Drosophila melanogaster: one gene and its partner. The protein of the gene in region 1 interacts with the protein of each later gene in a pairwise test. Each region holds a gene or a part of one and is shown on either strand. Other genes may lie near its edges. The genes, in order: CG31522 and Zip88E.

Evidence for each region.
Region 2: the proteins of CG31522 (region 1) and Zip88E interact in a two-hybrid assay, tested with the Drosophila melanogaster proteins (one large-scale study listed by BioGRID).

The regions. Positions count from the first base shown.
Region 1 is NT_033777.3:4,459,583-4,464,657, reverse strand, and holds the start of CG31522 (uncharacterized protein), read left to right. Parts: upstream 1-1,774; 5' UTR 1,775-2,031; exon of another isoform or gene 2,032-2,038; intron 2,039-5,075.
Region 2 is NT_033777.3:15,266,630-15,271,089, forward strand, and holds Zip88E (Zinc/iron regulated transporter-related protein 88E), read left to right. Parts: upstream 1-2,032; 5' UTR 2,033-2,133; coding exon 2,134-2,382; intron 2,383-2,451; coding exon 2,452-2,711; intron 2,712-2,774; coding exon 2,775-2,976; intron 2,977-3,107; coding exon 3,108-3,486; intron 3,487-3,555; coding exon 3,556-3,566; 3' UTR 3,567-3,903; downstream 3,904-4,460. Other genes in the region: CG14864 (uncharacterized protein), read right to left, coding at 100-1,743; Cp190 (centrosomal protein 190kD), read right to left, coding at 4,414-4,460.

The DNA of each region.
Region 1 (5,075 bases):
TTATTTGCGTCTGCAGTACTATGACGTCATTTTCAGAATTAAAGGGTATATATGTAGATTCGTTGAAAAGAAAGAAATTTAAAGCGGTTATGGTAGTCCGATCTTAGCGTAAAAGATCAAGCGATTACATACCAAGACTTTGAGAAAAGTAAAAAAAAATTTGGCTGAGCCCCACTACCAAACATATGTTAAAATTAAATTGGAACCTTTTGGGCGTCTTGTTCGTCCCTTAAAAAGCATTTTTTGAAATACTTTACCTAAGCCCATAATTTGTGCTACATGTCATTAAAAACGCGTTTGCAAATGATTATTTGCTTTTCACAATTGTTTTGTCTCAAACAACAGATTAAAATGTAATACCCATTACCCGTAGAGTCAAAGGGTAGACTATAGGTAGGCAGTTTATGTTCTTTTCTGACTCGATAAAGAACATATTACTTCATCAGGACCAATAGACCGTATAAACGTCAAGATCTCTCTTGTTTTTTTTTTTACGATGATCGTTGAACGCTCGGCTGTGCAAAAGTGCAGAAACGTACCAAACAATCGAAAAAATCAAATAACAATACAGATTGCCACTGACTTAATGTACAAATGGGCCAGTACTTAATAGACGCGTACTAATTTTTGGCAAACAAATCCGCTAACAGGCGGCGACAGCTGGGCTGTACAGGCTAATATTTAAGCCCCTCTTGACCTTGTCGGCTCTCGACTCTTGCCGCATCAGCCGGACAGGGCGCGATGTTAGCCAAGTTGACATAACTTAATGCATCATAATGCACCGGCGTATTTGGAGCTGGAGCTGCGACGGAGACTATCGGCACTTCAGGCTAGTGTTAGCGTTAGATAATAATAACTATTTCCCAGCTCACTTTGGCACGCGCCCTTTGATGCGTTGTGACCAAACACTGAACCCTGACCAATTATCAATTGTATTATTACTACCAAGTATCCGAATTTCGTTTACAAGGAATGAACTTTGGAGAATTAAAAAAACTGTTGGAAAAAAACTATTAATTCAGGCAAAAGCTGCGAGTAACGACCGCTATAAAAATAAAACCCCTATTTTCTTAAATACTATCGATTTGGAACATATAATTGTAGGATAATTAGACAATAAATCTTAAGTCACCCCATATTTTGCGAAAACTCTTTCATCATGTTCCAAGCAATTCTTAATTGTTGGTCATACGGTTGGCCCAAAGTTTCGAATAAGGCCGTATATCTGTGCGTATCCATGATTATAAGCCAGATCACCTACACGGGCAGGAATCGTACGCCTCGTAATTAACATGGATGATTTAACGCTGTGAAAGGCCAGGTATCGGGGCTGTTCGGAAGTTCACTCCATGTAATATTTACTCGCTGGCAGTGTGCGATTGCTATTGCGACGGTAGCCACACTTGAACCTTGCCTGCGCCGCTGACATCAGACAAAAAAAAACAAGGTTCGGGTTCAGATTTGGGTCTTGGGTTCGGGATCTCCGGATCTGAATCGAGTCGCATCATTCCCGGTGTCCGGGAATAGCCAAGAGCCAATCAGGCCATTTGCCATCTTCGTGCACTGCACTTGACGCTCGGCGGCGGAAAGTTTTCGCACTGCACTCGGTCGGTGCTTGCCGCTGACCGTAACGTTTCCACCGCAGCCGCTGCGCTGCCAGTGGCGTTCTTCCCTGCGCTGGCGCTCGCGGTTGCGCCTGCGCCTCCGCTTCGTCGGCGTCGCGCGATCCGCGTTTAATTAGCCGCGCGGCGCGATCGCGGCTCAGTTTTCATTCAGAAGTCAAGCGCGCGCTAATCGCAGACGCAGTCACCGATCCCGTGTGCGAAAGCCGAAAGCCAAGAGCCAAAAGCTATTGCGAAAGTAATCATTTTACAAAGTTCTTTGGCAACACTTTGTGAAATAGTTCGGGCCGCGCAATTTGTGTGTTGTGGTTTTTGCAGTTTTTAGTTTTCAGATTTCGGTTGCCAGCGATTTACCAACCGAGCTGCTGCTGGCCGCCTTCCGTTGCGGATTTCGAGCTGTTTGCAAGTGGTAAGCTGTAAGTTGTTCGCACATGTGATTTTTGTTTTTCGCTCTTTTGCAACTGCGCGGCGCTTGGTCCGTTCACAATAAGCATTTTGGACGGCGCTCTCCACGCCAAAACACCTCCCCGCTCTGGCCAATCTGCCCGGCTATAAGGCGCAGATCGTCCGAGCTAATCGATTTGACTGGCCAATCGGGCTGTTCGATCCGGTGTTTCCAATGGTGTGGCAACCCTGCCATTTGGCGGTTGCACAAAATCAGCTTGCGTGGGGCATTTGATTCCCAGCGAGGATCCGATGCTGAGGACCTCTGGAGAATCCTCGACGTGTGGTCGCAGGCGGGATTCCGGCGGGATTTAGCCCTGGCCTGACTGGCAGCGCAGCGGCAGACCACGAACAGCTGGGCGGATTTGTATGCTGTTTGAGCAGCTGTTCTGGTTTCTGGACTGTTGACTCCCAATATACCGATAGGTTTTGTTTTGCTGACCCCTCGAGATAATGCATAAGAATTAGCCAGCATCGTAAAGCTTTTCACCGTTGACATTGGGTCCAAAGTAGCAGAAGCGCAATTAGTGCGCCCTTCGCGAATAATTGCCAGAGTTTTTCTTGCACTAAAAATATACAAAATGGTAATCCAAGGCAACTCGAAACAAGTGCGGAAACGATTCGCACAAAACCGGATCTGCAATGACCCGATTTTGGCCTTGGACTTGTCGCAGGGCATCCTGATCGTGGCAAAAAGTTTCCTTGAGTGTTTCCCAGTCAGGCGAGGTGGTCGAACGAAAACCGCTTCTGGGACCGACTTTCGAGGTCTTGTGACTTACTGATCGATAATGGGATAATGGTAGTGAATGGCTCCAGATCGACGATCGCTTCCGCGTTGGCTGTAATTGGACATCATAAATTGAACCGCCCAGAAGGGCTTGCTCATTGTTCTTACCCGGACTGGAGCCACTCAGGCGCTCCTCGGCGGATGCCACTAAGGTGGCAAATACTTTCAAACAGTAAGCTGGGATTTCGCTTTCCGTATTTACATATGCAAACCATTTGGGTTTTTTTCGCGCTCACCGTTCTTCAAATGCCACGCACGTAGCCGCGTTTCCAGCGAATTTACAGGCTACACGCCAATCCCCTGAGATCGCAGATCCGAGATCTGAGGCCCGACTCTCAAGAAGCCTCAAGAAGCCTCAGCCAAAACTTACCCAAACATTAAATCGCTCAACGCTCGCCGGCGTGGCCGCAGCTCTGGCTCACACCGCTTACTCTCTACTTATAAATAATTTAAACACAAAAGTTTGTTTGTCTAGAAGAGGATCTCGCTTCCACATCGAATAGCGCAATGGGGCGTGCTAACAACTGCGATTTGCGGAAGCCAAGTGTTAGGAAAAGAGCCGTAAACGTTTACATTTACGTGAAAGTATACCTTTATATGTATACTATTGTTTGCTATTATGTTTGCTATTGAATGCATTACAAACGGTTTAAATGTATTGATAAATACAAAATAGAAGGGCATACACTTTTGTCTGACTCCCATTATATATATATATATATGCATATGCATATATATGCATATATATACTTCTACCGACCATAAAAGCCACTAACCGATAGATAGGCCGCCGCTTGAATACCAAAATGTCTTGGGCAGTTTTCGAATATTTTAAACAATTACTACATTACAGTTAAGCGCCAATAACAATACCCGTACAATTCCTGGATTAAAGCAAGATTTCGTATCTTAATCTGGTAGCAATCCAGTTTGTACAATACGAACATTTTGTATATAAACTTTATAAAAAACACCTCCAAATATGTGGGATTAAAGTGACGATGACACTTCTCAAGTCCTAAAATGGCAATTAGTTAAACTTTTTTTTAACAAATTTTGCAGACAAACACATTTTGGAAAATGTCATTCAAATCTTGTTTTATAAATACAAGAATTATAACTAGAATTGCTCCCCCTTCTTCCTAGCTAATCATCATTCAACAAGAGATTTAAATCATCAAAAGATTATTCGATCACGATATACATAAATGGCTCTGATCAGACTCTCGGTTCTCATCGTCACTACGTAAACTGCCATCCACAGCGATGTTAGGGGACTTTACTTGGGATAAGCACACGTACCTACTTATAATGTCAATTGGAAGACAGCGTTTTGCAGTGACTAATGAAAACAATTAACAGAATTTCGTCCGCCTATGTCTGCGACGTGTACGGCATTAAAAATATTCCAGAAGCAACAACACTATCAGCCACATCTCCGCACTTTAGACAGAAGATACTCACAACTTGTTCATGACACTAAAACAAGTTGAGACATCACCTAGCTTGCACTTCGGTTTGCATTACCTTAGTTCTGCTTTGAGTTTCAACTTCCCCGATTTGATTCGACAAACTGGAGTAACTAGCGTAACTAGACTTACTCTACTCTAACTAGAGTTTACAACAGCAGTCTTTGAAACCCCGGGAAATTAGTTAAATAGCTTGTCAGTAAATTGACTTAATTAGTGAGCCGAAGCGCGAACAGCAAAACGAAAAGGAGCTGCAATATGCCCAATAAGACTAACATTTAGAAGAACACCACAAATTGATCGTTATAAGAAACTTCCGTTTCAGAAATATAAGTCCAATACCATGGTTAAGTATTCCTTATGGTTTTCGAGACTAGGGTACATTCCTTATAAATTCCTAATTAATTATTATACACAATACTTGTAGGGTAGACCTGAACTTGAAATGTATTTGATAGAAAGCATATCTTCGACGCTTTATTTTCTTTTTGTTTCCGGAATTCTATTATGTTTTGATAATTTCTAAGGTAGCCGAAGACAATTTAAAAATGTATCCTTCGCAATCCTCCGTATATATGTACATATGTATGTGTATTCGAACAAAGACTAGGCAGTCGAACTAGCCAAGTTCATCTGGACTTCCTTTAGCTGGGTAATAGGTATCTGATAGTCAGGAACTCGATGAAAGTGATTACTCTTGTTTTTATAAAATGCTGAAAGCATTGTTTGTTTGGCCAAATTGTGGGAAATAAA
Region 2 (4,460 bases), about 11 Mb from region 1:
AGTTTGGTATTGGAATTCAAGCGGTAATAGCGAATAAAACACTCTTCACCCTTTGAAAACCAACAAAATTTATTCAGAGATATGCGCACTAGATTTGGTTTATGATTTAGATATATTTTTAGGATCCGGTATATCTGTGCACTGCAGCTCCGCAACCTTGTGCTGGATTGTCTGCTGCAGAAGGCTGTGCTGCTCCAGCAGATTCTCCAGCTCCTTGATGCGAGATCTCTGCAGTTCCAGAACCTTGGTGAAGTTACTCGTGGCCGGGGACTCAAGCCAGTTGATTAGAAAACTATTATGTTGCTCTTTATTATCGTTGGCGTTTTGTTGAGCATCAAAATTACTCTTCGTCTTGCTATCTAGTGTACTCGCATCCTGCCCTGGGTTGGGGCTGCAATCATTCAAAGGACTCTCCTCCAGGACCAGAACATTGGTCTCGTTCGAGGATCGACAAACTCTGTAATTGGGCTTGTCGATTTCCGGGAACACAGCTCGCTCATCATTTTCGGTCAGATCGGACTCTTGAACGCAAATCTCTGGAGGCGGCGCCATGGGACGTTGCTTCGCCGGAGAGCAGCACCCATCTTCATAGTCATTATTCCGGGTGCCGTTCATAAGCAGCACGTTGATTGCATTTGAAGTTCTTCTCTCGCCGCCGCCACAAGTAAAGTTATTCGAATTATTGGTGTATCCGCCAGATAAACCTGTCGCTGAGCTTCCAGTTTGATGGCTGAACGAGCCGGTCATCTTGGTTCGCCTAACAGGCGAAGAGCTCTGAGTCTGCAGCGTCACCGTTGAGCACTGCACTTCCTGATCCTTCAATTGCTGGGTGATGCACGTCTGGCAGCATTCGCTCTTCAGCTCCGGCTTTTTCTTCGTATTCTGCTGGTTCATCGAACTTTTAATTTTGTTGTTACCTCGTGAAGTTGGCGATACCGGGTAGTTCGGGCTACTGCGGAAATCATCTGCTACAGTTTTTATGTCCGTTGTCCTGAAAGCTGGACAAGTGAGACGTTCACAGGAACTCTGTTTTTTTGGGCTGCCTTTGGAATTATCCTTTCTTTCTTTATACTCTTTATTTATACTTTGTTGGCTGCCTGAATCCTCTTCTAGAGGGGCTACCGCTTTTTTGATCCCTTGCACTGGACAGAAACTACAGGTGCATCCATCACAGGTGCAGTTTACAGCTCCAAAGGTCGGTTTATTTACCCTTGGGCTTAATTTCATAGGTGGATTATTTTTGTTCTCTAAGTTTGTGGCCCTTGTTTGTGGATTGGGATACTTCTGTCCCATTTGGGTGTATGTATTGCCCTGGAACATGCTGTTGCAGGTGTTTCGAAAACGACAGCAACCATTCGTACATCTGTTCGCGCTGCTGAATTCCTGCCTCTCCGAGCCGAGACTCTGTTTGCTTTGGTTCTGGATCCGCTCGTTAGTCTTTTTGCTGATGGAATAGCCATGGCCAGCGTCCGATGCCGAAGAGCTCCACCTGCTCCATTCCTGCAGGCCAGCTTGAGTCCTTGCCCTGCCAGCAGCACGAGACGAGCTCTCCGATTCCGAACCTGATCCGTGGCCATCCAAATGGGAGGCGCAAACGCATCCGTGCCGGCATAGCGATTCGGGGTCGACGTCAAAACTGCTGAGGTTGGCCAAGTTCTGCCACCGGCGAGCCTCCGACATGTTGCGCGGGTAGACGCACTGCTCGCCCGGCTCCTGGCCACAGATTATACAACGACGATGCATTTTCCAACGGACAACCAGGACGGAAACGGTAAAATTTTGAATTTTAACTACAGGAGCATTTGTCGAAGTGCAAAACTATAATTGGAGAGGGTGCCTACCTTCTTTTATTGAAATTCTTAATGGTGGTGGTTGGTAAAAGAATAGTTCTAGATTTAAATGTTTAAATAAAATTAAAAAAAAAAAAAACCGTTTAAATGAGTGTGATCTGAAAGGCGCACTGCTGAAATGCCTTACTTTTCTGTGGCCCCCCCATTGTAAGGCGTTTTGGTATTTCGCACGAAAGCAGCTGCACACACTTCGCAACTGTTTAGTTTAAAAATAGTAAATGCAACGAACTTTTGTGTGTTTTACTGGCCCCCTTCTTGATGACACAGTCTGGCAGTTGATACAATGAGCTTGCCAACCGACGGTCTAAACATGGAGATCACCCCAAGCCCCACCCTGGCTGCCACGAGTCGCGGCGACTTGGAAAAAGTGCTGGCTATGCTGGTCCTCGGACTCGGGAGTCTTTTGTTCGGATTGCTGCCCGCCTTTATATCGGAACGGAATCGTCGCCGCTTCCCGCTGACCGCATCCCTGCTCCTGTGCTTCGGAGCGGGCATTCTGCTAGCCACCGCACTGGTGCACATTCTGCCCGAGGTAAGAGCTTGGACTGCGATCGTGTGTGTGGCTGCAATTTGATAACCTGCTGACTTACGCATGCAACAGGTGCGCGAACAAATGGACTCGAAATTCGCTGAGGTTGCCATGTGCGGCGGGTTCTTCATCATCTACTTTATCGACGAGTTCATACACTACTTCTTTGGCGAGGCCATTCAGCACACTCATGCCCACGATGCAGAGACTCCAGCAACCGAGCCACCAAGACGTCCCACTAATGACAATGGTTATGGCGCAGTGGACGAACGAGCGCCCCTTTTATCAGCGGAACCCAATACGTCACATGGGCATTCGCACCATCATAGCCAGTAGGTTTATTGCATTTCCCTTCCCGCAGCCAAAACTAATTGCTTTGTGCTTCGATTACGCAGCGATCATGACCACAATCACCCGGCCAGCGCATCTGGCTGTAATGATGCCAGTGTAGAGGACGCCAACGCCCGCATCTGCCACACCAGCCACACGGAACCCTGCGCCCAATCCATGACAGGCACTCTGGGTCTCTTTGTCGCCCTGTCACTGCACTCGGCCATCGAAGGACTCGCCATCGGCGTTCAGAACTCTTCCACAAAGGTCTGTGCCGCCTGCCTTGACATAGTTAGACTAGATCGGCTATAGTGCGCAATCTTAGGCAAATATTGAAGCAAAGAGATGCGAGGGCTTAGTCCAATTAGATAACCGGAATCTGCTTTGTCTCGTCGTAGGTTCTGTTTCTTCTAGGGGCCGTCGCCTGCCACAAGTTCGTGATGGGCTTTTGTCTGGGGCTCGAGTTCCGCTCGAATCCGCAGACGAGTTTTCGCGCCCAGTTCGTCGGCATTTCGGTGTTTGCCCTGGGCGCCGTCATTGGCATTGGCCTGGGCATGCTTATCGTGGACGTGCCCGCCGCTTGGTCCAGCAAAACTCTGCCTATCGTCCAAGCTCTGGCCGGAGGCACACTCTTCTACGTCACCGTCTGCGAGGTGATACCGCGCGAGAAGGCGCGCTGGCACTCGAACTCAACGCGACGCTGGGCGGGATTTGCACAGTTTGCAACTGTGCTCGCCGGCTTTGCGACCATGTGCATCATAAACTTTTATCTTTCTGGTGCGTAGCATTATGTGATTTGCATTTCCCTTTCGACATTGCTGACCTATTTTCTTCGCGCCTTTTCAGATGAGGATTAGACATCTTTTCGTTGAGAAATCGTTTCAGCGCTGTGAGAAAATGTGCCGCTTTTTAAACTTAGAACACTTAGGATAATATTATGGATTGGCAGCTGTTAATCTCTTGTGTAAGACTTGTTACTTGTGCATTTCCAACTAATCTTGTTTTAGGTACATTGTCGATCTGCCGTAGGATAAGTAAAAAGTTCAGTCTTCTCGTCTACATTTATATTTTCTCTTTCTCCAAAGTTTGTGTTATTTTTTATGCTTTTATTATATGTAATAAACCTTACAATTAAGTTGTTAATCAAAAAAAGGGCATCCTCTTTTCCTTTTGATTAATCTTACTTAGCCAACCATTAAACGCAATCATTTTATTACTTTCTGGGGACATCATGTCACTGTTTTAAACGAATTAAAACAACATCTATGTAACTACATCTCTATATGTATGTAAATAGGCATATGTGTATATATATATATAGTGTTTACCTAATCGTGAAATGTTGCTTGGTTGCTCTATTGGTGGTGTATGTGTGAAGAAACGGACACTCATAAATAGCTAAATGTTGGGTTGTTTGGTCTCTGATCTCTCATTTAAGGTCATTTGGGGAACTCCTCTTAGATTTACGATTTTCATGCTAGCAGGGCAACATACTTGGGATGGGAGGGGATTTACAATTACGTGAGATGAGTAGATTAGATCTTATACACTTAAACCAGTGCATATGCATATCTTATCATTCACCTTGATCTTCATTAACAATTTAATTTACAATAGAAACCGAAAATTCGCGCCGAGCTCAGGTGCGTTTATCTGCTGACCTGCGTTGAATCGCCAAACTTAGAACATAAATAAATCTAGTAATTATAGCTCCTCCTTCGCCGCCGCACTAACCCCATTCTCATCCTCGT